Linked DNA regions of Astyanax mexicanus. The protein of the gene in region 2 interacts with the protein of the main gene of each other region in a biochemical or structural test. Links are inferred from orthologs where the notes say so. Each region holds a gene or a part of one and is shown on either strand. Other genes may lie near its edges. The genes, in order: rasa1a, erbb2, syk and supt6h.

Region 1 (7,667 bases), on a different chromosome or scaffold from region 2:
CCAATGTTTAATCCATTCTGGTTCCTCCAACAACCCTGAGGGGCCAATCACTGACATTCATATGAATGAGTGGAACCCATGGACAAAATAGAAAATCTGATTGCTATACAAGCCCCACGTGAGTCTCTATTAGGGCTGGAGATATTTCGTTTTTTTTTTTGTTTGTTTGTTTGTTTTAGAATTATCGATATATATACATATTACCAGATATATGGCAACACAACACTGAAGTAGTGCCAAACTTCATTGGTAGAATTCCGAGGGCCCTGACATTTAAAACAAGGCACTGAGAATTTTGAATGTGTACCGGTAGTTTATTTAAAAAAAACAAAAAGACTGTTTATTACCACAGTACCTTGGGGAAGTTGAACTCCAGCTGTTGCTGAAAATATCTTTAAAGGTCACCTTCCGCGAAAATCCGATTTTTCTTGTTTTTTGTGGAATACAGTAGGTCTCTCCGAGTTGAATGTGTACACCTGCACATTAAACTGTTTTGCAGCCCCCATTGTCTGCAGGAGCTAAGCAAAGAAATCCCCCCTCCCCCCCTCCGAAAAACGGGTGAATTTTGAATTATCTTTCTGCCTACGTAGGCAGAAACTCACAGACCAGCCCACCTTGGCTCCAGAAACTCCCAGAGGCGGAGCTGAAGCGACGCAACATCACCGCTCATCAGTTAGGAGGTGGGAGGCAGTGAGCGGCAGAGCGGTGGAGGGGCGTCGCAGTGCTCCTAGCCAATCAGAGGAGAGATATTTGCATGCTGTTTGCATGTATGAATATTCATGAGCAAAGCTGGAATCCGGTCATTTTGGACACACCCCTAAAACAGTCCATTAAAAAAGAGCTATACAGAGACACCTGAGCACTTTTTTTTTTACAAAAACGGCTCACATGTCATTCATTCATACTAGAGACCACAACTAGACATTTTAAAATGAAAGAAAAAACGACGGAAGGTGACCTTTAAAATATTCATGCATTTTCACAGAAATAATGTTGTAATCTGTTCCCCTGTCCTACCTATTCGTTCAGGCTCATCAGTCGATTTTGTGACTTAATTACAAAATTATGATGATGCCGAAAAATACACCTGAAGGCACTCATGTATTACTGTGATTATACCACAGTTCCAGTATCGCTGTTTATTAAAAGATTTTGAGTTAAAGAGGACGGAAAATACGATTTGTTTGGTCATAAGCACTATGTGAGTTAAAACAGTTCCATTGCTGCTCTGTTTGTAGCTGCACTGTTTGACTGGTAAGTTCTGCAATCTGCATCTCTGCTAGGTTACCTGTATGCAGCCGAGTAAAACAGAGTTTCTGTTACAGTGCATTACCAGGTGATAATGGCAATCACAGAACGCCTCACAGCCAATCACACTGTAGGGTCGGAACTAACTGTAGTATAATAAAAAAAATAAACTTCTTGTAAACTTTTAAAGTTCTCAGTGGCTCGTTTTAAAGGTCAGTGCCCTCAAAATTCTATCAATGAAATGTGAAGCAACAAAGGTTTGTGCTCATTAACCTTTTTCCCCTACACACCAAGTCTTTCGCATAGTTTAGCACCACTTCAGAACTTTAGTAGCTTTTTCAGCAGCTTTATAAGAAGCCTGTGAGGAACTAGAAAGACTTGTGGAAAGCATTAGAAGAAGGGTGCCATCCTTACTGGTTAGTGGGTGGCGCGGAGAGGGAGAACACAGCCTCCTCTTCCTCGCATTCTGGTCCATCCTGCTGGTCACTCTCGTCCACGCTGCCGTGAGCCCCGTAGGCAAGAGGTGGAAGTGGCGGCGGGGGCAGCGGAGGGAAGGCGGACAGCCCGTCCGTGCCGGCCGAGGTGGGAGACATCCGGGTATCTGGTCCCTCTAAAGTGGGGGAATAGCAGCCGCCGCCTCCGCCGGCAGCAGCTGCAGTCCCTGAGCTCCCTGATCCATGAGCCCCGGGCTGGCCGCTACCGCCGCTGCCACTCCCCGCGGCAGACAGCTCTTCCCCCGCCACTGGGTAAATCATCAGGTCGGAGAGGTTGTCAAGCGGCGTGTGGGAAGGCTGCTGGCGGAATTCGCTCACCCGCAGCCGGCTGGTTTTGGGGTAAAAGGCCGTAAGCCCGCTCCCTGGCTGTACGGTGGGCCGGTCTTCGTTTCTGACCTCCGCGTCCATTGAAGGCAGGGAAAGCGGTGGAGAAGCGGGGCTGCGGGGCGTTTGCGGCTGTGCGGTTCTCTATCCTTAAACTCCTCCACGTTCAAATATTTCCTCAAGTGTGTGGAAAAAAAGACGTACAATAAACTTTCCTCAAGGGGGGAAACTCAGCTAAGCTCAACTTAGCTCAGCTCAGCTCAGCTGGACTAGCTAGCTAGCTCCCAGGCTAGCTGTGGCTGTCTCCTAGCTACGCTAGCTCGCTTAACTAGCTACGTTAGCTAGCTAGGGCTAACCTAGCTAGGTTAGCTAAGCTAGCTAGCTCGCTCGCTCCACACGATGCCTGCTTGCTTGCTAGCTAGCTAGCCAGGCTAGCTGACGGCCACTCGATGAGTTATGTCTTCATTGTTTCCTGAGTTTCGAGTTTAGCCAGAAAAAGACAGAAAAATTAAAAATTTCCACACAAAATATGAAGAATAAAGCGCCCAAACCTCACAAAAACACAAGACAAACAACCCGTCCTGCCTTCCAGTAGGTATTGGCAATCCACTTGACGGGAATAAGCGCTTTTATTGTCGGTCTGAAGCCAGTCCTCTTGTTTTTTAGCTAGTTAGGTTAACTCTCTGTGGCTGTTATTTTCTTTCCACTCCAGTCAGTCCTGAAAAAAAAAAAACACTCCAATCCGCCTCCTCCACCACGCCACACTACCCACCCCCGCGTCCTAGCGCCCAGAACCCGCCGCTTTCCTCATTTCCACCCCAAAAAACGGGCTGCAATGTTTTCCTCCTGCGCAAGTTCGCTTTTCTTTCGAGATTACTTGGACATTTTGCCACAGCTGCTCCCAGTCAGTCCCACTCCTTTCCCCCCCTAAGACCCGGCTAACAGAGCGCAGAGTCGTGAATTCAGTGAGTCAATGAACCGTTCTGTTCTTTTCAATCACTCTGAAATCTGCCGAACCGACTCTCCAACGTTAAACGTCTAACTCAATGTTTGCGCCCGTTCATAGTCCACACTCTTAACAGTTCAGCTAATAAACAGTTCAGTGCAGTTACTAACGCAAGCCCCTAAAAGACTACACTATGCTCATAGTTTGTGTTTTGTGAAAAGTGGTCTCACTACTTTCTTTCCTGTATTGTGTGATTCGATTCGTTGAACTAAATCAGAGCTAGACCGTTCAGATGAATCGGTTCGTTGCTGTTCACAACTGTTCACAAACTCGATGAGATCTGTTGCTCGTGCAGAAAAAAAAATCACAGCTATCTGAAAAGCTAAGGATTAACTTATACATATAGCAAGTATCTTGCAGATGTACCCATACAAAGTTTTGACTGTACAATTTTAGGATTGTATGTTCAATATTTAATAAAACAAACATTAATATAATATTTTAATACTATATTTGCCTACTAGTGTGAGCTAGCTAGCTAATGTTTGCTATGCAGCTCTGGAAAACATATTAGACCACTTCAGAATAATTTCAATAATAATAATAAAAATATATTTTGCTATTTATAGGTATGTGTTTAAGTACAAGGAACATTGTGGTTTTACTACTGTAAACTACTGACGGCATTTCTTCAAAGTTACAAATAAAAATGGTCTAAATAATGAATAGCCTTAAATAATGCAAAGAAAACACGTTAATTTAGAAACAACAATGCTAATGTTTTAAGAGTTCAGAAATCAATATTTGGTAGAATTACCATGATTTTTAATCACAGCTTTCATGCATCTTGGCATGTTCTCCTCCACCAGTCTAACACACTGCTTTTGGGTGACATTATTCCACTCCTGGCACAAAAATGCAAGCAGTTCATGAAAGCTGTGATAAAAAATCTGGGTTATTCTACCAATTATCGATTCTAAACTCTTCCTTGGATAAAACCTTTAGTATTGTTGTTTTTAAATGAACAGGAACTTGATTTCTTTGAGGTTTGAAAGCTCTGCATCTTTTTTTTTTTGTTTGTTAATTTAACCATTTCTCATTTTCTGCAAATAAATGCTCTAAATGACAATATTTTTATTTGAAAATTTGGAAAAATGTGGTCAGTAGTTTAGAATAAAATAAAACCACAATGTTCATTTAACTAAAACATATACCTATAAATAGTTAAACCAGAGAAACTGATTATTCTAAATAAATACAGTTTGAGCAGCTGAATGCCTTGGCCGACTGACTACAACAATTTGATGTAGTTAGAATTATAGGTTGCTCATAGGGGCCAATACAAATAATCTAGACACAATATAGACAATAGATCTTCTCCAGTAGCCAGGTTTGTTTTGCTTAAAAGAGACTGGGGATGTTGCTGGAAATTGGATGCAAATCTGATGTAACTATGGGAACCAGCCGGGCTGTGGATGCATCTGCGTTCATTGCCACTCTTGTCTCCATTCCAAACATCTGCTTCCGCTCAGTGGCATTTCCCATATGTACAGTTAGTAATTTGACTAAGCACTCTGCCATCTCCAAATGTGATTTCGTCTGTAGAATTTCTGAGCCAAGTCCCTTTTATCTGGGCTGTATAGGTAAAATTGACTTTGATATTGAACAGCACTGTACAGCATCTCATGTTCAGAATATTTAAAAAACAAGAGCTCCTGACACTGGCAGGGCGGTGGTGTGTTAGTGCATGTGTGGGTCTGGCATGAGTGGATCAGACACAGTTGTGCTGCTGGTGTTTTTAAACACCATGCCTTTGCAATGTGTGAAGCATGTGTTTTGCATTGTCTTGTTGAAAAGCGTGTTGAAAAAACATGTTGAAAAATGAAGAATGACCCACCACCCAGGTAGTACACCCAGATAATAAAGTATGTAAAGAAATATATATATATATATATATATATATATATATATATATATATATATATATATATATATATGCTCAATATATCTGAGAAATGGATAATGTGTTTTAATGTTTTTCTTAATTGCTGTACTCAATTAGCAAAAACTATAATTTTGACACTTCCTTAACCTTAAAACACACATATACATATACTAGAAGCCACAGGATAACCAGTAGCTTCAGTCTGATATACTATATGTGTTTGCTTCTTACTCCTTTGCCTTTCTTGCTTGCGGCCTCTTCGTAGTTCATGGAACATGTGCTCCCTTCACTTCCATCATTATCACTGTCTCTTTCTGCAATCTCTCAGCAGCTCATCTTCCATCATGCCCCTCCAGCCCTATAACACCCCTAACCGTTTTGCAGATTGCTCTTTTTATGCTTCTCTCTCACGTCTCTTAAGCAGACGCCAGCAGAGCCCGGTCCCTGACGTGGAGCCTGCTGACATATGCTGTCAGTCTTCATCAACTTCCTCCTCTTCCTCAGCCTCCCCCGCTTTCCGCGCTGTGGCAGGCTTCGGCTCTGACATGACGTGACCTCCTCCTGATTCCCCAGCCCCCCGTAGACACACAGACACACAAAACACACACACCGCACACATGGCCAACCAATGTGGCCAACAAACAGGAGGCAGGGAGAGGGGGAGGGGCAGGAGGGAGAGAGCGAGTGATGCTAAAGTGATGCTTTAACCAAAAATCTAATTTGGTGTCTGTTTTAAAGCTATGAGGCTAAGAGGCTAATGCAGCTCAGCGGTAATTAGAGTCGTGTCTGGTCAGCTTCATTTCATTTGTTAATATACTTCAATTCCTGCATTTCAGGCCTGTAACACATTCCAGAAACTGTTGGCACACATACTGCAGAGCCTAGAGGCACACTCCAATCTTTTTTCCTCAAGCAAATATGTTACTTTTGTATTGTGTGTATCTATTAATATGTTATACATAATTTTATTTAAATATGCCAATATTATGTTTACTATTTTTATGATCATTTTTGTATGAGCTTGATTTTTAGGTGCCCTACGCGCTGATTACTGATCATAATCATAATTTGATACAAAAAGAGGATCCCCAACATTGGCGTAGGAACTGGAACTGGGGCGGGTATGGGCGGGATGTGTCCCCCCCAATATCAGAAATAGGTAAATTTGCCCCCCCAAAAGTAATTTTTATTACAGTATATTGTTATTGTTGCGATTCATTGCTTTCATAACTGTAAAGCTGGTGTTACGCCAAATTCAGCACCCCTGCCAGGAAAAGCACCCCCTCTCAGGAGCACGCACCCACACCTTCTTGGCTTTACCTTGACAGTATACCCAAGATACTGTTGTAAGCTACACTGACTCGTAAGAAATAAGGAAAAAGAATCATGTCACCTGCAGCCTCTTCCAAGAGAGGGTGTTTCCATGGTGAGGGTGCAGATTTCGACACTACTATGGTGCCGAATTCAGCACCCCCGCCAGAAAAAGCACCCCCTCTCGGTAGAGGCTGCATAAGGCGGCGTAACACCAGCTTTACAGTGATGAAAGCAATGAATCGCAACAATAACAATATACTGTAATAAAAACGACTTTTGGGTAATGTCTTGTTCTGCTAACAGACTAGGAGGGTTTCGGTTATCTAACAACTCTATGAAATGTAAAGTTGCATCCTTTTTTTTATAAAAGGACCCTATTGTATCAAGTGGAGAAAATGGAAGTGTACAACAGAATTGATATGCCAATACATAATCCTCAAAGAAAGATTGGAACAGTTTTGCTGAATTCTCCCTCTACATTGCACAACGATTCAAGGAATTAGGAGGAATTTCAGTGCATAAATGGCGAGAGCACAAGCCTAAGCCGAACACCTGTCATATTCATTTCATCAGATGGTACTGAATCTAGAACCGTCATTTAACAACCGCTGATAGAATCATAGGAAAGGGATTGCTTTGGCAAGAACTGCAGTATAGTGGAGTCACATTCATAAAAGCAACTATTAAAGCAAATCTTTGCAGGAGTCTTTTGTTACCCATGTCCAAAAGTGGTGTTGATTTTCATGGGCTTGGGGGCATCTGGGATGGAGCATCACATAGAGTAAAAAGTATGGTATATTGTGGTCAGATGGTCAGAATTAGTGCTCCAGACTAAAGAAAAACACAGGATCATCTGGACATTTTTTTTATCATCAAATCCAAAAGCGAGGGTCACAGAAATTTACACTGAGATCTTATTACACAATATGCTGCCTTCATAAGACTTTCTTCATAAGAGATCTTTTCTAATGAGTTTTTCACATTTTTGTTCAACAAGACAATGCAAAACCACATGCTGCACACAGATTACAAGGGAATTGGCTGCAGAAAACAAGGGTACACTTACAGGTCAACTTCTGACAACTACTGTTGCACACCTGAAAAATCTAGGATTCATACTGTTTGCAAATCAAGCTTATTCTAAATGTTGCACTTTAACAGCCTTTGCAATAACTGCATGTGGAAAGCTTTGGATTGCTGTGTGAGACTGTGTGAAGAGAAAAACTGCACACAAATTGTTCCTCACTCGTTCTTATCCAAAGAGCAATAATTCTTTCTTTGTGCTGTAGGTAGGAGTGGGCCGTGTTCTCCCGGGCGTCATTGGAACACGCTGCTGGGTGCCGGGCTGCCTGATGGGGGTATGATTTGTGGGGAAGCGGGACGGTCCTTTGTCCTG
Region 2 (7,164 bases):
AGTATCTAATGCAGGACACCACGAAGGAGACATTACTGCAACAAAAAGAATATTACATTTTATTTTGTGATATTATTGCATATGGTATGGCACACCCCTAATGGTACTAATAGTGCACTCCATATATCCAGGTCTGAAGGAGGAAATATATATATATATATATGTACAGAACAGGCCAAATGTATGGAAACACCTTCTCTTTTTCAATGCGTTTTCTTTATTTTCATGACTATTTACATTGTAGCTTCTCACTGAAGGCATCAAAACTATGAATCAACACATGTGGAGTTTTATGTACTGTACTTAACAAAAAAGGTGAAATAACAAAAAAAAAACATTATACCCTAGTTTATTCAAAATAGCTACGCTTTGCTCTGATTACTGCTTTGCACACTCTTGGCATTCTTTCAAAGAGCTTCAAGAGGTGGTCACCTGAAATGGTTTTCCAACAGACTTGAAGGAGTTCCCAGAGGTGTTTTGTTGCCCCTTAGCCTTCACTCTGTGGTCCAGCTCACCCCAAACAATCCGGTTTGGGTTCTGGTCCGGTGACTGTGGAGGCCAGGTCATTTTTTTGATAAGTACATAAAACTCCACATGTGTTCATTCATAGTTTTGATGCCTTCAGTGAGAATCTACAATGTGAAATGAGATGAGAAATGGCTGAAATAACAAAAAAGATATGGAGCTTTCAAAACTCAAGTAATTTAAATAAAACAAGTTCATATTCATAAAGTTTTAAAAGTTCAGAAATCAATATTTGGGGGAATAACCCTGGTTTTTAATTACAGTTTTCATGCATCTTGGTATGCTCTCCTCCACCAGTCTTACACACTGCTTTTGGATAACTTTATGCCACTCCTGGTGCAACAATTAAAGCAGTTTAGCTTGGTCTAATGGCTTGTAATCATCCATCTTCATTTTCATATATTCTAGAGCTGTATATATAAAATTGGAAACGAGAACAGTGTGAATTTTCTTTTTGCTACGAGCAGCAAATGAGTTTTACTCTGATGGCCCATATGGCCCTAAAATAATATATATGATATTTTAGGGAATGTGTGCAATAACAACATACATTTGTTTGGCAATATTATTGCACACAATACGATATGGCGCACCCCTAATTGCTGCATGTCTGAAGTTTGGGAAATAGTACATTGACACTACACAACAGTACTAGCAAAATGTTTTTTGGACAAAGATTGAACTGTTGCTGCACTGCATCTGGCATAACAAAAGTCACTGCACATCACCATTAAAACATCATCCCAACCATACATAAGTATGGTGATGTGAGAGTGTCCTTACATCAGTTGAAACTCTTTTGAGGTTGGGTGATGCAACAGGACACTGACCCAAAACATCAAAGCAGCGGAGCAGATCCACAACAGAATGGCTTATGAGAGTGGCCAAGTCAGAGCCCAGATCTCAGATGCTGGATTGACTGGATTGAGGCATCCAAGAAATATGACAGAGCAAAAGCTGTTCTGCCAGGAAGAAAGGGCTAAAATTCCTCCTGAACAATATGCAGGTCTGATCCACAACAAATGCCTGGCTGAGGTAATGGCTGCCAGGGGCAACCACTTTAAGTTTTGAATGGGGGTGCTCTATGTTATTTTACGCATGTTGCATTTGTTAATACCCTAGAAACTAGTAACTAGTAACTTCTCTGGATGACCCGGTCCATCCAAAATACTTACCGGGTCCTACAGGTACTTTAACTGTACATATAAATAAAGAAAAACAAGCAACAAGAGTGTAACAACTAGGTAAGTTTCTGAAACTTACCTTTTACTTTCCCAACAGGTATGGTGTAATTGTTCACTATAAATCAGTAAATACAAAATACTTATTGGGTCCTACTCGTACTTAAATCTTAAATATAAGTACAAGTAAAGCACAGGGGAACCTGCAATTTCCCTAAACTTATGTTGCAATTTTCATGAAATAATATATATATATATATATATATATATATATATATATATATATATATATATATATATATATATATATATATATATATATATATATACACATATATATTATTTTGCCCTTGGTTCATGGCAGTTATGAAGGCTTGATTTCAGTCACCCTCCAGGGAATTATTATTCTATTAATTTTATGAGTTTGAAAAAAGAAGATTTTTTAAAACTGTCATGGGTGGAGTAGCTAAAAACAGTCAGAGTGGAGCAGGAAGAAAACGTACAGCTTAAAATTCAAGACTAAAATACAATAATATATATATATATATATATATATATATATATATATATATATATATATATATATATATATATATATATATATATATTCTCAATAACAAAATCAGGAATGCAGAGATTTTAAAGAAAATATATTAATTAATACACAAAAACTACAAGGTTTTATATTATTGGTTAATAAACCCACACCTCACCTGATTTTTACTGTTTTTACTCTATAAGTACACAGTACTTCCTCAGTAAGTAGTTAGAAACAACAGGGAGTGGGCTGTATTATGTAGTGTACAGTGTTTCACTGGTCTTACTCTGTAAGTACACAGTACTTACCCTCTAAAACGCGGGCTGTATTATAAAGCGTTACCAAATATAACTGTTGTTGTGTCATTTATGTTTACGTTTATGTAACCTTAAAGTATTTACCTTAAATATTTACAGTCTTGTACCCACAATAAGAAACAAACATAAATGAGCTGCTCACTAAATTCATCTGAATTCATTCTGAATATTGCTACATCAATCAGTAGCAATGTTCAGAAATGGTCTGGGCTATTATGTCAAAACCAGAAAGGTATAGTAACGAAGTAGAGGTACTACTGTTCTTAAGTACTAAAATGCTGTATCTTTATCTACTGGAGTATTATTTTTACTTCACTACTGTACTTAAGTACTAAAATACTGTATCTGTGTCTACCTTAACTTCACTATGTATTTTCCACAAGTTTAATACTTTTACTACAATATATTATTTTATGTGCTAATTCATTACTTGATTCAATTATAAAAATTCCCCATTTCACATTATCACAAAGCAGTAGATGATGCTGCTCATTCTTGAGTGAATCAAGAGATCAAACTTATCTTATAAGGGCTCTGAGTGGTTCAGCCGGCTAGCGCCTGCCACTATTATCAGGAGATTTCCCGTTTGAATCCTGTTCATGTAGCTTGCCATCAGCTGCCGAAGACCTGAGAGAGCACAATTGGCCTTGCTCTCTCTGGGTGGGTAGATGGCACACTCTCCCCGGGTGATGTCGATCAGCACAAGGCGTCTGTGAGCTGATGTATTAAACCTGAGTTGATGCGTTTTCCTTCGAGCGTGCTGTGATTGGAAAAGAGGTGGCAGTTGGAAAAAAGACAGTGGCTGACATCACATATATCGGAGGAGGCATGTACTAGTCCTCACCCTCCTGGTGTTGGGGCATCACTAGTGATAAGGGGGGGTCCTAATGAGTGGGTTGAGTAATAGGCCATGTAAATTGGGAGAAAATAGTCTAAAAATTAGAAATTTTATAGGAAGACCTCGCTGCTCCCGTTCTGCCTTTTACTTTCAGAACTCCAGTACTACATTTTACAATAAACTACAATACTTGCAATACTTAAATACAAATACTTGAATACTTTAGTTCTTCCACTTAAGTGTGTAGCTTAAAGAACACTACAACTTCTACTTAAGTCACTTTTTTGATAGAGTACTTTTACTCAGGTCTTGCTCTATAGTGTTTTATACCGGTCTGGTTATGAGCCAGGCTTCTCCAGTGTCTGAAAACAATCTGTGCAGCTCACCGTGAGTAAAACAACCAGTCCAGCTTTAATTCCCCACTCAATTAACCCAGTGCACAATCACAATAGATAAACAACACACCACACTGCATTACCAGAGGCAGCTGCTGGAGTCACAGCCTGCCTCCCGCTCTGTAATTGGCTGATACCCAGCCTCGTTTAGTTTATTTGGCCAGCAGTGTCCCACCTGCAGCGGTGTGATTGGATTTCTCAGTTTGAGTCCTGCGCTGGGATTGGATAGAAGTTCATATTCTTCAGTTACGGGACAAGCTATGAACTCCGGCGGGTGCGAAGTCTTAGCCAATCGGGGTGCGGTGGGCGTGGCCTGTCGGAGACCCAGTGGAGCCCCGCCCTTCCCCTCCCGTGCCCGGGAGCGCGCCTGCCTGCGGGAAGCTCGTTCCTGAACTGGCGGAGCGGAGCTGAACTCGGAGCTGTACTCGGAGCGCTGCCCGCAGGAAGTTTTACAGACTGAAACGCGCTGAGGGAACCGCAGCACGGGAATACACACTCTCCGCAGGATTATTCCCAGCCTCCGGGGAGCGTTGAGGAGTTATTGAGCGGGTGATTATGGACTAAAGTCCGGCGGAGAGCGATGGAGGCGGTGAGAAGTTTAGGGCTCGTGCTGGCGCTGCTGGCCGGGGCCGTGGCGAGATCTGCGGGGAGAGAAGGTGGGTCAAACCGCCGCATTCCTCAACCAAACACTCCCCCAAACCCCGGCCTTCACCGGAGAACAGCCGCTCACAGCCACTGCAGCGTGTTTATAACCCATAGAGCGAAATGTTTTACCCTAAAATTACTTTAACAATAACTTAAAGTCCTAGCTTAACTTTTTAATGGTAAAAACTTACTTCTACTCACAATTTTTCCATGGTAAAAGCTCTAACTTACTACATCTACTGTATATCAAACTGTGTAATTTTGACTAGCCATATGTTTTGACTTAGCATTTATTTTTATTTCACATTGTCCTATCTATAATTACTTAGCTACAATTACATTTTTTTGCTAGTAAATGTAAAATTATTCTGAGATAAGAGAGAGTGGGGAAAAATATGAAATTCCATGTCAATAAAATAAAATATCAAACAAAATATCAACGTTAAAACAGTAAAATTAATCAAACACTGTGTGACCCTGGATCCAGGCTAATATCTAGTCTGCAGGTTTGATTATGTTATTACTATTAAAAATGAACTGATATCAGAATTAGAAGTAGTACAAACTGTAATACAGAAATCTTGAATTTGAATTTCTTGAGCTATACTAGTATTATAGAGTTAGGACTAATGACTGGGCGATATTGTAGAAAAATAATTTTGATATACTTTAGATATAAATGATTAACGATAATGATTATACATTTAGTTTTTACATAACATCTTCATTTGCACCATTTTAAGTGATGCACAAGCTACTGTTTCCTTTACATTTAATTCAAGAAATGTTTTAGTTTTAGTAAGCAGACCCCTTTAACTTCACATGCAGCTTTTATTTCAAACACAGTGCAAACATAACCTCCTTGACAACAACAGCTGATGTGGATATTTAGACTTTCTGACTAGGAACAATATAAAGGCTCTCAAATCTACACCTAAAACCAGGCCTTTTTAGTTTTCAAAACAGTACTTATGGTCAGTTTATTTAGACTGTTTGACCAAAAAAGACCAAATTTGTAGACCAAAACTAAATCCGGGCCTTCAGAGTTCAAACATAGCCTCCTTGTACTTTAGTTCAGGGAAAGTATAAAATATGAAAATCACTGAAAACCACACATAATAGAGTTCTTTATAGTTTTCTATCTATTGAGATCCACTCTGGCAACCTCTATATGTACATATATACAGTCTCTATTTCCCCATTTTGAAAACCACATAAAACAGTAATTCCATTAATTAATTTGATTAACCTCCCAGCCCTACTTAGGACTCATATCCCTGTTGTGATTTTAGTCTAAAACAATTGTCCATATTGTAGATATAAAAGGGCTGTGGCAGGTTTTTATAGAATTTCAGGCTGCCTACAGAGATTTACTCAAGTGTTTCCACCACAAACTGGCTTTACCACTTTACTGTGACTGACAGCAGAGAGCAATCAACAAACTCAAATCATAAAACCTGCCTTGTAGACCAAAACCTAAGCCTAAGGCTTTGGTCAGGAGCAGTGAGCTGTTTTGGTGTGGGTATCTAAGAATTTCTCACTAGAAAAAGAAAGAGTAGAGTACACTTTAAAACTTGAAAACTTTAGTTTTAGGCAGGTACACAGTGGACAGCAACAACTGATGTGGATATTTAAGACTTTTTAACTATAAACACTTTAAAAAAGACTCTAAAATGTGGACAAAAAACAAACTCAGGCCTTTTAGGGTTTAGTTAGGTTTGCAGAACAGTACTAATGTTAAGGTTATTTAGACTTTCTGAATAAAAAGATGAAAATTGTAAAACAAAACTAAATCCAGGCTTCAGTGTACACTCAAGTGCTTACATCTCAACACTAAATGATATTAGCCTTTCTGATGGGAAAAACCTTCACTTTCAGACAAAAAATACACTCTATACAAAACTATCATTTAATTTATATATTTATTAAACACTGAACATTTATGTGAAACACAACATTTAATCTGTCCCTAGTTAAAGTAAAATATATCAATAGACTTTTATATAAATTCACAAAATATTATTTAGATACTCTATAAATACAAATACACTACGACAGTAATACTTAACATGAGTAAAAAATTGAGTAAAACCGAGCATTTTTAACTGCACCATGTATAATCTGTTATCCTATGAATTCAGTCAAACAGAAAGTTCTTCAACTAAAAGACAGCTTTACTGAGATTCTAGGCCTTCGATTTTAGTTTGATGTGCAAAGAAGCTATAGGTTCTGATTTTAAAGTCTTCATCTGTAGGCTAAACCAAACCTAAACTCAAGCCTGTTTAGAGGTTAAAGGACATTCAAATTTAGGGCGGCACTTTATTGGAAAATATTACAATATTAAAAATGCAGTTGTTAACACCAACTTTTGCTAGAAGTAGGTGAGCCAACATGGCCTGGTATTAATATTCTGTGATCATTCATGCTGATGCATTAAAGCTTTAAAAAAGTAATCTCACCTGGCCAAAACTACACCAGCACTACCCATTTTTATAGACCGAAACTCTGTTTAAAAGAAGCTAGATGGAAAAAAAAAATCTCAAGGCAGCTGAATCATCAGGTGTTAGAACTGAGGTCACTTCATGACGGTCCTCAGTGGTCGGAATGGTGTTGACGGCATTGCACCTGCCAGTTCTAGGCTCATTTCCAACATCTAAAAACACACAAACAAAACTTTACAAACTTCAAATGTAGTTTAACTTCGCACATGTGTCCATAACAAACC
Region 3 (7,660 bases), on a different chromosome or scaffold from region 2:
ATACCTAATATTAGTGTGAAATGGTGTTACATATTATTTAATGACAGACCTACATCACGCTATACTGCAAGCACTGCTGGAGAATGATTTGAGGAACAATAGTTCAAGCAACAGTAGATAAGTTTTAGGGAGCAGTAGAGAGCAATTTCATCCAATAAACCTAAACCTACTAGACCACTGTGTTTTTAGATGAAATATATTATATAGAAATTGGAGGGATGTTTGTTTTAGGACACTGATATCATTAATTAGAATATTCTGTCTCATCATAGCTTAAGAATTCTTCTGCTTTCAGTGTAAAAGAAAAGAAATCTTAAGATTCTTAAGAACTTCTGCTTTAAAGGTCTCATTCCATCGTTTTGTCCTTAATTTTAAAATGTCTAGTTGTCGTCTCTTATGTAAATGAAAGCAATGTAAGCTGTTTTTTTGTGAAAAAAAGTGCTCCAGTGATCCGGTATAACACTTAACAGGATTGTGGCTCTTGCTCATGAATATTCATTCAAATTCATACTAACATATCGCCTCTGATTGGGTAACAGCACTGCGAGGCAGTGAGACGGACAACAGTTAAAACGTTTTAAAATAAAGACATTTTTACACTAATAACAGTCTTTGCAACGTCATATGTTACTTTACAACATGTGTAATGCCCTGCTAAGTGCAGTTCAGCCACTGACCTAGTCTTAGAGTCTCTGTAAAACGGCAAATCCACCGGAGATCCTATGTAAACATAGTTATTTACACAGAGGTGGGTAGTCCAAGTTCAAAAAGTAAAAATCCACCCCAGGGTTGGCTGAGCCGCAGCAGAGCCACCCAGTCAGTTGGAACAAACCCCTGGGGTGGATTTTATTTTAACTAGTTTATTTTAAGCAGAACTGTTTTAAACATACACCTATCTGTCTCAATTGTACTTCGCTGGTGGTGTTCACAAGAACAGTTTCAAGCGCAGCATTCATATACAACTCAGAGAGACCTTTTGTATTTCACAAAGAACAAGAAAAAGGTGGATTTTAGCAGAAGGAGACCTTTAACTAGTTTATTAATTAGTTTGCTATTTTCGGAAGCCATGTCCATGTAGTGATTCACTTTCCCATGTTTGAAATTGTTCCATGCTGTCGATTCTAAGGTGAGACTGCTGTTGAGATGAACGTCACTGTAGAGTTTACAACACCTTAAGTCATTCAATCCTGTCAGTGATTCATCCTTTCAATTAATTAGCTACTTTAGGATCTTCCGAGGTGTTAAGAGGTTCAGAGCATACTCATATTTTTTCCCTGAACTGTGCTGCAGACTGGATCTGAATGTTCTAGCAATTGCAGAAGGAGCTTATTGAGTTCTTGTGACCTGCAGTGCAAATGAAATTACGGAAAAAAGCACAGCTTGAAAAGACCCACTTCAGACCACCTTTAAAATTATTTCTAAGCCTCAGTGAATCTGAATCATTCTGTGTTATATAACAGCCTGACCAAATCTTGTCTTCAGAGTGAATTGGAACCGAGGTGGCTCTGACCCATTGTAAAATAAATGAACCGATCATTCCAACCTTATTTTGTGTTATTATTGAAGCGTAGTTTAATTCAGAACTAATTAAGCTAACAGAGACACGCAGTGACATTGATGTGAAGCACCAAAAGCCTTGTGTGGAGAATTATTAGCAATTTTCTAAATGATAATTTTAATTTAAAATTAAATGTAAATTGATTGACTATGTATTAGTATTGTCTGGTTTATAAAAAAATATGTGATTGGCCAGAATTCCTCTAATTAGGCAATTCTGAGGTTTTTAGGTTAAGAGATACAGCAGCTCTATGGGAGGCTTCTTTGGGCCCTATCTTTCAACCTACTGCTTCTTGCTATCTTACACCCTGCCAACAGTATAAATAGCAATGGAGCTAGTAAATATATATCTATGCAGATAGGTGTGGTGGTCCCAAAATAAGGTGTGTTTAGTTAAATGTCTTGCGTATTGCTATCTTGGCAATAGAAAACACAGGTACCCCAGTGACAGAAAAAAATGTCAGATAAACGTAAACAGTACGACTTTCATTGTTATCTTGGCAACAGGTGCACTGTGCTTGCACAATGCTTGTACACCCCTGCACATTACACACACACACACACACACACAAGGACATGCATCAGTGCACAAACCCAACTTTTACACCAACAATAAACAGAATCCAAAAAATATATATTGCTGTTCCCATTAATGACCTACTCACGCACCTTTAGAGCATGAGCGAGTAAATCAGTTTCCTCTGCTTAGACATGCTGGACACGTCAAGGTAGCTCCACCTTTAAAATAGCAATCCACCAAAGTCAGAGCATACCTGGCTCTTAAAGAAAATAGTAAGTGAGACACTGATTGGTTTGTTCCACATTACACCCAAAACACACCCACGATTAATTGAGATAATTAATACATGTCTTTTGAGTGTTTCGAGCCGTGCAAGGAGTACTTTTCCCAACGTTATGATAGCAAAGAAACACTGACACGTCCTTAATCAAGCTGCATGGTGCACAGTTGACGGCTCACCTTTAGATCGCTAAAATAGGGCACTAAATTAAACTACCAAGCATGCTCATGGATGCATACACTCATTTGAGCCAATGTTGTGCTTCATTTGGTACACTGCTTCTGCTTCATCAATCTTTTAAAAAGAAAGAATGCTTGTAGAATGTGTAAAACTAACATGCCCACTAGGTGAAGCAGCAAAAAAGCCTTTTCATAACACTAACTGGATAACTCTCTCTCGAGTTCTATTCATTCCACTTTGAACTCCACAGTGCATTTCTACACAGACATTGACAGACTCTCTAAGCTGGTGCTCGGACTTCTATAGAGTGAAACTTGGATCAACTAAAAAAGAATCCAATGATGATGCTATACCAAGTTTGTATAAAAAGGTTATTTCCATTCCAGCCTTCGGTAGGTATTTGTAATTGACTGCTCATACTGTACCATGAGCAATTAATCCCATCTTCTCAAGTGTGGGTGGCTGAGATGGGTTGCAGGTTAGAGCAGGACCATATGCCCTATATGCATATCCCACAGATCAGGGCAGCGTTTTTTAGTTTCTAATATGTTTCTAGCTTCTAGGTTTATGCACCACAGCAAGCCTTTGAAGGATCCTACACCTTGAGGTTCGTGGGACTCCAGAGGCATCAGCAGCTTCTCTCTTAATCCAATGAACTTGTCTGGCAGAAACCTTCCTCATTTTGCCTTTATCTGCACGAACCCGTCTGTGCTCTGAATCAGCCACAAATCTTTTCAAAGTACGATAATCACGCTTAAGTTTACGTGAAAAACTAATGTTTTCATACCTTGTCCAAGGCATTGCACTATTTGATGCTTTTTGGCAGCAGAGAGATCCCTTATCTTTCCCATGTTGCTTAAAACCTGTGGCCTGCTTAATAAAAATAATAATGTGGAATCCTTCTTAAGTAGTGTTCCTTAAATTGGGCTCACCTGGCTAACTAATTATCTAATTATCACAGGTGTCTGAGATTGATTTCAGTGATCCAAAGAGCCGTGAGACACAATACCATCCATGGGTTTAATTGAGAAACAAAAAAAAAATCTTTGTCACACTTAAATCCAATTTGCATAATAATTTGGAACATGGTGTACAGGTTGGACAATGAAACTGAAACACCTGGTTTTAGACCACAATCATTTATTGTCCCGACGGACAGTTCTGGTGGAAATTGAATTCTGCCGTGATTTGGGCAGCCGTGTTTTTATTTTAATGTTTTTTGGATACAATCCGAGTTAGCACTCAAACATCCCTTTCAGACAGCTTCCTCTTGCGTCCACAGTTAATCCTGTTGGATGTGGTTGGTCCTTCTTGGTGGTATGCTGACATTACCCTGGATACCGTGGCTCTTGATACATCACAAAGACTTGCTGTCATGGTCACAGATGCTCCAGCAAGACGTGCACCAACAATTTGTTCTCTTTTGAAGTCTAGTATGCCACCCATAATGTTGTGTGCATTGCAATATTTTGAGCAAAACTGTGCTCTTACCCTGCTAATTGAACCTTCACACTCTGCTCTTACTGGTGCAGTAATGTGCAATTAATGAAGATTGGCCACCAGGCTGGTCTAATTTAGCCCTGAAACCTCCCACACTAAAAGGTGTGACAGGTGTTTCAGTTTCATTGTTCAACCCCTGTAGTTCCTAGATAGATGGAATGTGGCAGTAAATAGTAGTCTGTCAATATAAAGTTTTTAAATTTTCTTTAGGGAAACTAAATCATCAAGTCATTTTTTTTTGAGTTATTTTTGCAGAGTGCGCCTCCTCCAGAGCAGATGGCTCAACACCTTTTTATCACCCGCAGCCAAGCACCAAAAAAACTGAAAAAACACACCGATCTTGGATCGTGAAACGTGAAAGCGGGCCACCGCCGGCGAGGGCGTGCCTCCAAACTGGAACATACCCTGAGAATGCATGTTTTCAAATAATAAAAGAAAAAAGAGCCTCCTTTCAAGACGGTGGGTTCCTCTGCACGACTGAGCCACGATCCAATTATAGCCCCAGAGAGCGTGAGGCGAGCTGAGCTTCACGCAGTGTGTGAAGAGGAGCCTGTGATGTTCACAGAGCTGCGCGTGGATGTGTCTGGATGTAGGCCAAGAGCTCACGTGCGACCGAGATCACGCAGGTAGGGGAACAAGAAGGTGCCTCGGGCCTACAGCCTACAGCGTGCTTGTGCTCGGCTGCTGCTTCTCTTACTGTACCGGATCTTTTAGCTGTTATAGATGTTGTGTCTGGATTTCGGATGTTCGGAAGTTCGGATCTGCAAGTGTGTGTGTGTTTGTTTGTGCATGGGCTGGCTGGGAGGGTACGGAGGGGGGTTGAGTTTGCTGCTGGGCTCCAGTAGGAATGATCTAAGGAGGGAGGTGCATCACGCTGGGTTGCTGGAGGTGCACAGCCCACCCTGTAGTGTAGGACTGCTGTGTTTGCTAATGCTAATACTGTTGTAATACACTATGCATAGAGAGGAAGCTCAGTCTCCTGGGACAAACTCTGTCTCTCTCTCTGTCTCTCTCTGTCTCTTTCACTCTCCTCTCTGTCCGTCTCCATTTTTCTCGGTCTGTGGGAGGTTGTTATCAGCTGCTGTGATTGGCTGGCCAGAAAGCAGGGCAGAATGATGGCTGGCGTGGGAGATGCCCACTTATTCTCTCTGGACAATTTCTTAATGTTGCCTACTTGTTATAGCGATAGCATTAGGGATAGCATTTGGCCAAAAAGCTACACTGTAAAAAAATATATTCATAGGGTTGTTAATTGTGTAACATTTACACAAAATAGTTGAATAAGCAACTGAAAGAGGAATTTGGAGTAAAATCTGTGTTACATAATTTTATTGTGTTTTATAAAATTAACAATTTATTTGGATAGAGAACACACATATTTGAGTATGTATTGGGGTAGTCAGTTACAGTATATTTAATTTTTTTAATGGTTGACTGCTTGGTCACAGAGTTGTAGGGCAGAAGAGTAAGTTACCTTTTTTTTACTACAAAGTATGTCTTTATGCTGGATTAATTTTCCAGTGGAATGGGAAAATTGACTTGCACAAGGATAGCAGGGTAATTTTTTACACAGTATCAAGAAACAGATACACAAGCTAATCTCAAAGACTAGAATGGCAGGGACAGTAACAAAGTGGCAGCAATAGTAAACAATATACCAGGGAGAGAGCAGGCAAAATGGGTCATACAATGAAACAAATGAAATGCAAGGTAAAAGAGCTAGGAAATAAATGCAATACCAGGCAACAAGGAACAAAAACATAAAGGTAATTATATTAACAGGTCCAGATGTGTGTAATCAGAAGCTTGGCGAGTTAGAACACTGTAGCATCATATGATCAGCAGAGTCCGGAAGGTGTAAGTGCATGCTGGGAGTTGGAGTCTTTAATGTGTGCAGACTGACAATGTAAGGAATGACACAATCATGTCTATTATATGATAGATAGATAGATAAATATAAAATAAGCAAAATAATCTAACACTTAGTAAGACAAAAAGTCTTATCAGAGAAGAAAATAAGTTTTATTGCCTTAAATTTAGAAATTTTCACTTGCTAAGATTTAGTTTTTTGCAGTGTAGTCAGACAGACAGACAGACAGACAGACAAACAGACAGATAGATAGATAGATAGATAGATAGATAGATAGATAGATAGATAGATAGATAGATAGATAGATAGATAGATAGATAGATAGAATGGAATTTGAGTTGAGCAAGGTCGTGTTCTGAAGGCCAGATGTATTGAACATAGCATTTCTGAAATTGTGCATGGCATTTAAAAACAAATGGTGTTTAAAAACTCCAGCAGCATTGCTGTGTCTGAACACTTGTACCAGCACAACACACACTACTAAAACCACCATCATACCAGTGTCCAATCTGCAGTGCTGAGAACAACCCACCACTACAGACAATACCTGCTCTGCTCTGCTAGCAAGAGATAGATAGAGAGAGAGAGAGAGAGAGCGAGAGAGAGAGAGAGAGAGAGAGAGAGAGAGAGAAAGAGAGAGATATTGTAGTTTGTAGTGTTTGATGAGGCATGCAGACAATGAATAAACCCAACACCAAAATGACAGTCATCAAGGTTTAATGAATATTTTGGGGTTTGGCTAAAATTGGACGCGTCTCTGAGATTGCTCTTCGCTCTGAGGTTATTCTGGACTCAGACAAATATTTTTACATATTTTTGTGAAGGGATGGAAAGTTATTGCATTTTATATTACTGCCTCAATTTGAATGCATGAATTTTACATGAGGCCAGAAGATTCTCTACAGGGACACTCAGCGCTGAGCACTTTCCTAAAATGACTTTGTTAGATTGCCTTATTCAGAGAGTGATAGAGACATTACATTATACAGAGAGCTTCACAAATATACGTGTCACTGCTGTCTTATCAAAACCTCATCACACCACCAATTTTTACCTTTACTTTTTACCTTCGATGAACATTTTAGGACGAACTATGAATGGGCCAACCCAAGTGGTCTAGAATTATGATGTATGTTGCCGTTATCAAAATCTTAGGTCTCCGGCAGCCGATAGCAAGCTACATAAACAGGATTCGAACAGGCGATGTCCTAGTAACTGACCTTTTTTTACACAAACCTGTAGAGTCAATGCAGCTTGAGTCCACGCTGTGTTAAAAACGTTAACGGGCATCTTGAGGTCACACACTGAACAATTTATTGCTGTTATAAACTCCCTAATAATCCATTTAACTCTCTATACCTTTAAACCATCCTTGTAGTACACTGTGTTCTTGAAGTGATGCGTGGAGAGCTTCTGGATTCTGAACGCTCTGAAACGTCCCACATCACCTCCTCCACCACCCTCTGGCCTCCACTATTTCTCTTTTTCCATTCTGCACTTTCTCATTTAGTCAGGTCATAAACTCAGAGACCCTTTTTTTTCTTTAATACGTTCTGTCCCTGAACAGGTCTGTCTCCTTTTTCCAGTTCTGCTGCTGATCTGGGGAATGGAACAGACATGCTTTGTGGTCTGTGACGGCACAGAGAGATAGAATAAAAGAAGAACAAAAGAAACAGAGATACAGAATATGAGTGATTATCTCTGTGTAATTGAACCCTCTCCACATTATTCCCCATCCTTTCATTTGTGTTCT
Region 4 (7,714 bases), on a different chromosome or scaffold from region 2:
CCTCTTCTAAAGACACAGTTTACAAATAAAATACCTAAAAACATACACAAATTGGGGCAGCAAGCCATTTATTTCCAATATGCCCTTTTTTGACAAATGCAAAACCCGATTGCTCACCATCTTCATCATCTTCCATAAATCTCTGAGTCTTTTTGGGTTTCAGATCCTTCTCCTCAAACTCCTCCTCAGACTCCTCAGCCTCGCTTTCAATGAAGTCAGACATGTCTGCAAGGGCTTTTGAAACAGATACAAATTGGCAGAGGTCATCCACTGGAAATTATTTTATCATCATCATTTTGTCAGCTCATTAAGAGTGGAAAATACAATACTACACATAACAGTGAACATTATTTAACCAGTCATGCAATGACCAATGCTTTAATAATTGTGACTCCAGATAATTGTGACACACAGTGTGAACTGCTATAGGTAAAGAAAGAAGTATATAAAAGGTTATAAAAATAACTATGCTTAATAAAAAAATTGTTTTCTTTAAAATGCCAATCTATTATTGTGTCTGTGGCATTTAACTATATGTTTTACTGCAATAATTTCTGGGACAATATATCATCCACAAAACTTGGGTCGTACTGATGATATCCTTAATATGCTTACCGACAATACAATAAGAAAAAAATCACAACAGCTAGAATAAAATACCTTCCAGCTAAAGGTGCACATTTTAACCCTGGAGAGACAAACTTCTAGCTAGCTAATCTAGCACTAGTAGAATTTAACTAATGCTCAAAGTAGTCTGTCCCCTGTAGATGATGTTCTTTGAATTAACCCATTATAGCATGAATTATACTTTCGGGAGAAAAACTGAGATTCCATGTGGATATAACAAACTAAATTTAAATGATCAGTTTGTTATCAAAGGTCAAAATCTAAAATTGTGTTTTAGAGCAAGGAAGCGTCTGAAACGTGAATGGCAGAAGTAGGTCTTCAGAATCAGAGATGAGAACCACTTCATCATGATTAATCTAACTGGAAGTCCAACTGCACAACAAACAGTTAACAGTAAGTTTACAACAAGAATGTAAGAAAATTGACAGACATATACTTCTTTTCATATTTATATTTTTGACCCACTTGCATGCATTGTGTATTGAAGGTAGATATGCCATGTAACATTATACAGACAGAAAGTTGTAGTAACCAAAAATGTTGTTTGTTGCCTAGGAGCAACACACTATGCCACAGGTCAAGACCATTTCTTTGTTAACCCATCTTTAATATTTAGCCAATACTTAGTCTACCTAGGTCTTACATAATGTCAATGTGGGACTGTTAATAGCTAACCTATCTAGCTAAGTTAACTAACTAGCTAACCGTGCAGCATTTATTAGGATCTACAACATTGGGATCTCCATAATACCAGTGCTAAATTAGTTAGATCATCTAGAAATCTGTCTCTCCAGGGTTACAATTATAGCGTAGCTAGTTATCTTATATAACCAGGTTAACCCCTACTGCTCCTTAACATGCCTTGCCCCATATACAGGCTACAGGTGTTGGTGATACACAACCCTTTTTCTGCAGTAAAATATCGTATTTACATTCTGAAAATTTGAGGGCATTGAAATCTCCTACAGGACAATTTGAGAAGCTGCCTGTTCACTTTCTACTCCACTTAATAATTCCAGATCAGTAACAGGAATCAACCCAAATTCTGCATGTTTGAAAATAGACATAAAAACTAGACAAACATAACGAAGACATGGACTGTTTGATTTGTAAGGAAAATATTAATTTTAAAATGAAGTTCAGGAAAGAGCCAATTTTATGATTTTATACTTTATATTTTGACACGAGATTTACCTAAATATTTTTTTAGATTTTCTATTACAATCACAATTCTGCTTTTTAATAACGTTCTTCATTAAACATGAAAGCTTTTTATGTAATACTTGAATAGAAATCCTCAAGATTTAGTGGTGTAACAACTGACAATAGACAAAAACCCTGGCCTGCTGAGAAGTTAAAGCCGAACCGGCGTTCTCTTTAAGTACTGATATTTATTTAGCACTATAGTATTTAGTTCCCAATATTAGCTAGCTAACATCCAATGCTGCAATAAGAGTCTTAACTAAATAGATAGCTAACCGTTAGATAGACCTGTAGCAGACGTTATATGGATTAAGAATAAATATATAGGACAAACAGCTCAAGCTTAAACATGAGATGAGGTAGTTAATTAGTTAAACAAGCTAAAACACTGCGTAGATGTAGTTAACCTATCTTTGATTAGCTTTGTGCTAGCATAGCGCTAGCGAGGTAAAGCCATCTAGCTTAGCTTAGCATAGCTAGCTAACATCCCCACATTGACATTATGTAGAAGCCAGCAACCCTAGCTCAACATTATAGCTAGCTAAACACGAAATATAAGCTAACAAATGAAAAACAACGCCAATTAAGCCTTTACCACAACTACCTGAATAAGCTATCTTAACTCTTAGCTATCTGCTATGAATGTAAAATACCGTTTTTGTGCGTTTGAGAGAGAGAGCTCTACTGAAAACAAGGCCTCCAGCGCTCAACGACAAGGCTAACGTTCACAAAGCTAGGCTAACGAGCTATTCAGCTTTTAAAAATTATACATTATAGATCTTAACTAACGAGTTATCCACCTCGCCTGACCCCTAAAAACTCAATACACGGCCACGCTTACCTCTTCCCGAGACGCCTCTCGATTAAACCCTGAGAAATCTCGTCAGCGATCCAGAACCGCTCCGTTCACAGCAGCTAACAACAAACCTGCTGCCCGAGCCCGGAGCGGGACTTTAATTCCGGTATGGAGTTAAAGCAACGTCCGGTCTGCACTGACAACTCCCAACCCAGCCGTGATTCAGAATAATTTACACCTAAAACAGAGGAAAAATAGAAATACACACCGACTCAGATGTATCTAATATAAAACGTGACTAAACGTGAGCGAAAAAATGGCGATCAGACCGTACTGTGTACCTGTTTTCCCTTCAGAAAAGTCCCCTCCGAGCCGCACGCAGGCGCTGCACTCCAGCCCGCCGCTACACTGCGCTCAGAGCATGCGCAGTACTCATAATGTTTATTATAGATGGATCATAGACTGTGTATATCTTTTTACAGTATCTGAGATAGATAGATAGATAGATAGATAGATAGATAGATAGATAGATAGATAGATAGATAGATATCAATGAATTTATCAAGAAAAGAGAGAAAGAAAGAAAGAAAGAAAGAAAAAAGAAAGAAAAAAAGGAAGAAGACAAATGTAGACTGTATTGACAGAGACAGACAGACAGACAGATCAACACAATTAACTATCTGACAAAATTATGACAGGAAGCCATTTGAAAAAATTAAGCAGAAACTGCCATGTAATAAAAACTATTAATTAAATGAATAAATAAACCAATAGGAATACAGTCATAGGAAATGTATTAACAGTTCAAAAAGATTTTTTTTCATAATCCTAACATCATAGTAAAACAAACAAACAAAAAAAAAACTCTAAACTGATGAAAACTCTTAAGATGATGTAAATGTTTTGCATACAATTATACTATTTTAACAATATGCATAATAGCATAATAAGCATTTTAGGCTCTCCATAAACCACACATGGAAGCTTTAATTAATTAATTAATTAAATTAAAAGTACTAAATAATACACATTAGGTAATAACTGAGAACACATAAAACATAAAATAACAGAATATATATAATAGAATAACATAAAACATCATAATCTTATGTTACACAGTATTTATCATATTTTGGCTTGCACTAGGGAAAGCATTCTTAAAAATTCCTTTAATGCAGAGTACAGTGATTTACATTTTTTGTTGTACATCTTTCCATTTAATAGGATTTTTATACTCTCTGTAATAAAATGTACAGTTGATTCTGTGTTACTTTTTTATGAAATTGAGAAATTTAGTTTAGAAACCGAACACCAAATATGAACATAGGAGAATATGTGTACCAGAAGAGCCCCTTCTCTAGAAGAGACTGCAGGACAGCAGGATTCGTTTAGGAAGAAGGACTCCGACCCACAGCGAGGCGCTGCGCTCCAGCAGAGCGGCCCTACGGCACTGTGGTGTTACGTAGCTCTTACCCTGCTGTGTTGGGTAAATCTGGCTGTATGAAAGCTACAATAATGGAGAACTGCGCTCTTTCTTTAGCCTCTCTCTGGGTTTCAGTCTTATTATCATCTATGTGTCATTTCTCTTTAGGCTCAGAAATACGCTTCGTCACCTGTGGCTCGGTTGTTAAGCTGCTCAACGTGAAGCACAACGTAAGACTACATTCACACGATGTTCGGTACGGCTCTGGTGAGTAAATCCCTTTCATTATTTTTTACACTTCTCATATCCATTATAAATAACATTGAAGACCGAGAAAAAGTATATTAATTCTCATTCAGTGTTTTTCCCTACATTGTAAAATAGTACTAAATTCACCCAGACTATAAAGGAACACATAAGGAATAATTTTAGCACATGTAAAAAAATATTAAACAAACCAAAATACTCTGTAAGGCAGCATGTATGTGCTCTTATCTGGGGTGCTGTTAATTTGTGGTTTCGGAGGCTGGTAACTCTAAAGAACTTATCCTGTACAACAGGAAACTCTTGCTCTTCCTTTCCTGGGGAAGTCCTGATGCGAGCCAGTTTCATCTTCCTGTTTTAGACTGACCTGTATTTCTTAAAGTATTTTTTCTTTGCTTAATTGAGTAGTTCTTGATATAATATGATATGGATTAAACATTACTCAAATAGAGCTCATCACTGTATACCAATTCTGCCTCTTTACAACTTTACAACGGATGCTCTCAAACACTTTAAGATGGGAAAGAAATTCAAGTAATTAACTCTTGACGAGTTAAGCACAGCTGAACATTCCAAGTGACTCTACCTCATAAAGCTGACTAAGAAAATCCAGCCAAGATGCGCAAAGCTGTCATCTAAGAATCTAAAATATAAAACATATTCTGGTTTGTTTAACACTTTTTTGTTTACTTATTGATAAGTGTGGATGACTTTATGATAAAACCACAAAATTTAAGACATGTCCAAACTCTTGACTGGTAATGTATTTCTTAATTTTGATTGATACAATATAATTCAAATATCAAGATAAACAAAAAGAAGCCAAAGAAAAACAACCAAGAACAACACCCACATTTAAATATCAATAGTGTGAATTGTGTAAAAGTCACTTTTTATTGTAATATATTGATCGTAAATGATTGGTTTAAGCATTTCTGTACCTGCTGATCTTCTGATCTTCAGCACTACATCCTCTAGACATTAAATGTTTTTATATATATATTAACTTTTTTGTATTTGCTACTCACAAATGTTGTTGTTATTATTATACCTCAGGTAGTGGTCAGCAGTCAGTGACTGGAGTGACCACAGTTGAAGACAGCAACAGCTACTGGAGTGTCCGTGGGACAAGTGGTGCAGTGTGTCACCGAGGGACCCCTGTAAAATGTGGCCAAAACATAAGGCTTACACATGTTAACACAGGACGAAATCTGCACAGTCACTACTTTGCATCTCCACTCTCTTCCAACCAGGTTTGCAAGCATTAACTTGTTAAGGATGCATTCCCTAATCTGAACCATGGGTAGTCTAACATGACTTTCTCATTTAGGAGGTCAGTGCCTTTGGAGAGGAAGGCGAGGGCGACAACCTTGATGAGTGGACTGTACTTTGTGGAGGATCTACGTGGCAAAGAGACGAGTCGGTGCGTTTCCGCCACACTGCCACAGACGCTCTGCTTTCAGTAACAGGTGAGCAGTATGGCAGACCCATCCACGGCCAGAGAGAAGTACATGCCATGACCAGCACCAGCCAACATAGCTACTGGAAGGCCATGGAGGGTATTTTCATGAAGCCCAGTGAGACAGGGCCCAGGGACTTCAGCAGTCTTCCACACACTGAGTTTTGAATGGTTTCTTCAACAATCAATTTGTTTGACAGCACAGTATTTTCTTCATTTGTAATGTTTTATTTCTGCTACAGAATACTTGTTCATTAAATTATACCTCATATCAAAACACTTGAAATACAAGAATTTCCTTGTGACAATTATTCTTAAAAATATATACATCAATATCACTACAGAATGCCTGGGTTACATTAACTCTGCAGTCTATGATTCGTTTTACCATGCCTCTGTTTCTGATTGCATCTACAAGGTGGACAGTGAGTGGACACAATTATCCGTGGAACTGGAAAATAAATAATGGTGTAGGAACAAGGAAAATATTATGCTTGAACTGTCTATTCCTGCTAAAAAAAACTTATTCTGCTAGGCTAACTGGTAAATTAGCTCTTTTCTTCTCTGGATGACCAGCTAGTCTTGAGCTGTTTTTTTTAGCAGTGATGATTGTATGAGAAAACTAGTGTCTGAAGCAACAAGCAACATGTTTTCACTGTGCTTGCAGTGGAACATCTGTTTGTAAAACATTATTCTGTGATAGTGTTCAAAGGAGGAGATGCATTAAGGTAACAGACAGTCCTGGCTGGACAAGGCAATATGTGGGAACTGCAAGTAATGTAGGATATTTTCTGTTATTAAGAATTTCACACAGATCATTTACAGGGTAAATACAGTGTTTGATGTTTAATTCATTGTGCTAATCAAGGCAACGAGAAAGCAGAAACATACATTTACAGATTTACAAATAGACTTAATAGAAATATGTAGTATAGACATGTAACATTTCCCATACATGTATCCCCATACAACAAAACTTACTACACAACTCCCAAAGAAAACCCTCAAACCCACAAAACATTTCAGTGCAAAAATGCAAATCAGTATGCATATTCATATCTATATATACTGTAGTAAATTCTTAAACAAAACAATTTTTTATTGAAAAATAAATCAGCATAATGCATGTTTTATAATCCATGATTAATCAATGTTCATACATTTGACCTAAGCTAATGAGTTGGAAAAAAACAAAACAAAATCCCAGTCTTTCCTTAACTGAAGGCAAAATGACCAACCTGCTGCTGCCTTCCTGCTGTCAACCTCCTACGCTAAGGGCTAAGAATTACAGTATTTGTTTTTATTTTAGATGTAAAAATGTATTTTATATCAAAATCTGAATGCTGACTATGTGGAAGGGACTAGCATTGGACACATTTGCTCATGTAAGTCTCCCTATCCCTTATTTAGACATGCTGCTTGCAACAACAGTTCATCGATAGCAACTGTATTTTAAATCAATGACAAATCTGAAGCTGTGCTACTGGTCAAAGGTTTAAAAATCCATGATTTAATGTGTTTTCTATAATTTTAATCATAGGCTTTTATCTTTTAATTTCGCATTATTTATTCATTGAGTTTTGTGCTGAAATGCTTAAAATGAGTTTGAAAGACATCCTCAGTTAATTTAAGTTCAGTAGTGCTCATCCAAGCACTCAGCAACAAGGTTGGTGTACCTGAACATTTGACCAGTAGTGTATATCTCGCATACAAAAAAAATGAAGAAAGCTCAGTATTTCTTTCTAAACATGTCTGTATACTTTGCTGTATCTTTCTATTGTTGGATTTTCAACCATTTAACATCAGTATTAAAATAAAATGATTTTTTTTTGCATTTGTGTTTTTGTGATGAATCAGTTACACTTCCAAATAAATCTATGTATTGCTATGCAATAGACAGAGGAAGACCCTTTCCATAAAATCCCTGCCTACTACATGGCCT

The links.
Region 1: the proteins of erbb2 (region 2) and rasa1a form a complex in vitro, tested with the Homo sapiens proteins (2 studies listed by BioGRID and IntAct, with this or other methods). The link is inferred for Astyanax mexicanus from reciprocal best matches to the Homo sapiens genes ERBB2 and RASA1.
Region 3: the proteins of erbb2 (region 2) and syk form a complex in vitro, tested with the Homo sapiens proteins (2 studies listed by BioGRID and IntAct, with this or other methods). The link is inferred for Astyanax mexicanus from reciprocal best matches to the Homo sapiens genes ERBB2 and SYK.
Region 4: the proteins of erbb2 (region 2) and supt6h form a complex in vitro, tested with the Homo sapiens proteins (2 studies listed by BioGRID and IntAct, with this or other methods). The link is inferred for Astyanax mexicanus from reciprocal best matches to the Homo sapiens genes ERBB2 and SUPT6H.

Annotation. Positions count from the first base shown.
Region 1 is NC_064429.1:21,770,469-21,778,135, reverse strand, and holds the start of rasa1a (ras GTPase-activating protein 1), read right to left. Parts: upstream 3,013-7,667; 5' UTR 2,151-3,012; coding exon 1,663-2,150; intron 1-1,662. UniProt on the Homo sapiens protein: Inhibitory regulator of the Ras-cyclic AMP pathway. Stimulates the GTPase of normal but not oncogenic Ras p21; this stimulation may be further increased in the presence of NCK1.
Region 2 is NC_064422.1:4,071,115-4,078,278, forward strand, and holds the start of erbb2 (receptor tyrosine-protein kinase erbB-2), read left to right. Parts: upstream 1-4,148; 5' UTR 4,149-4,374; coding exon 4,375-4,450; intron 4,451-7,164. UniProt on the Homo sapiens protein: Protein tyrosine kinase that is part of several cell surface receptor complexes, but that apparently needs a coreceptor for ligand binding. Essential component of a neuregulin-receptor complex, although neuregulins do not interact with it alone.
Region 3 is NC_064427.1:26,190,746-26,198,405, forward strand, and holds the start of syk (tyrosine-protein kinase SYK), read left to right. Parts: upstream 1-4,639; 5' UTR 4,640-4,663; intron 4,664-7,660. UniProt on the Homo sapiens protein: Non-receptor tyrosine kinase which mediates signal transduction downstream of a variety of transmembrane receptors including classical immunoreceptors like the B-cell receptor (BCR).
Region 4 is NC_064424.1:10,126,746-10,134,459, reverse strand, and holds the start of supt6h (transcription elongation factor SPT6), read right to left. Parts: upstream 3,011-7,714; 5' UTR 2,968-3,010; exon of another isoform or gene 2,865-2,967; 5' UTR 2,672-2,864; intron 235-2,671; 5' UTR 224-234; coding exon 118-223; intron 7-117; coding exon 1-6. Other genes in the region: sdf2 (stromal cell-derived factor 2), read left to right, coding at 4,127-4,316, 5,370-5,566, 5,644-5,940.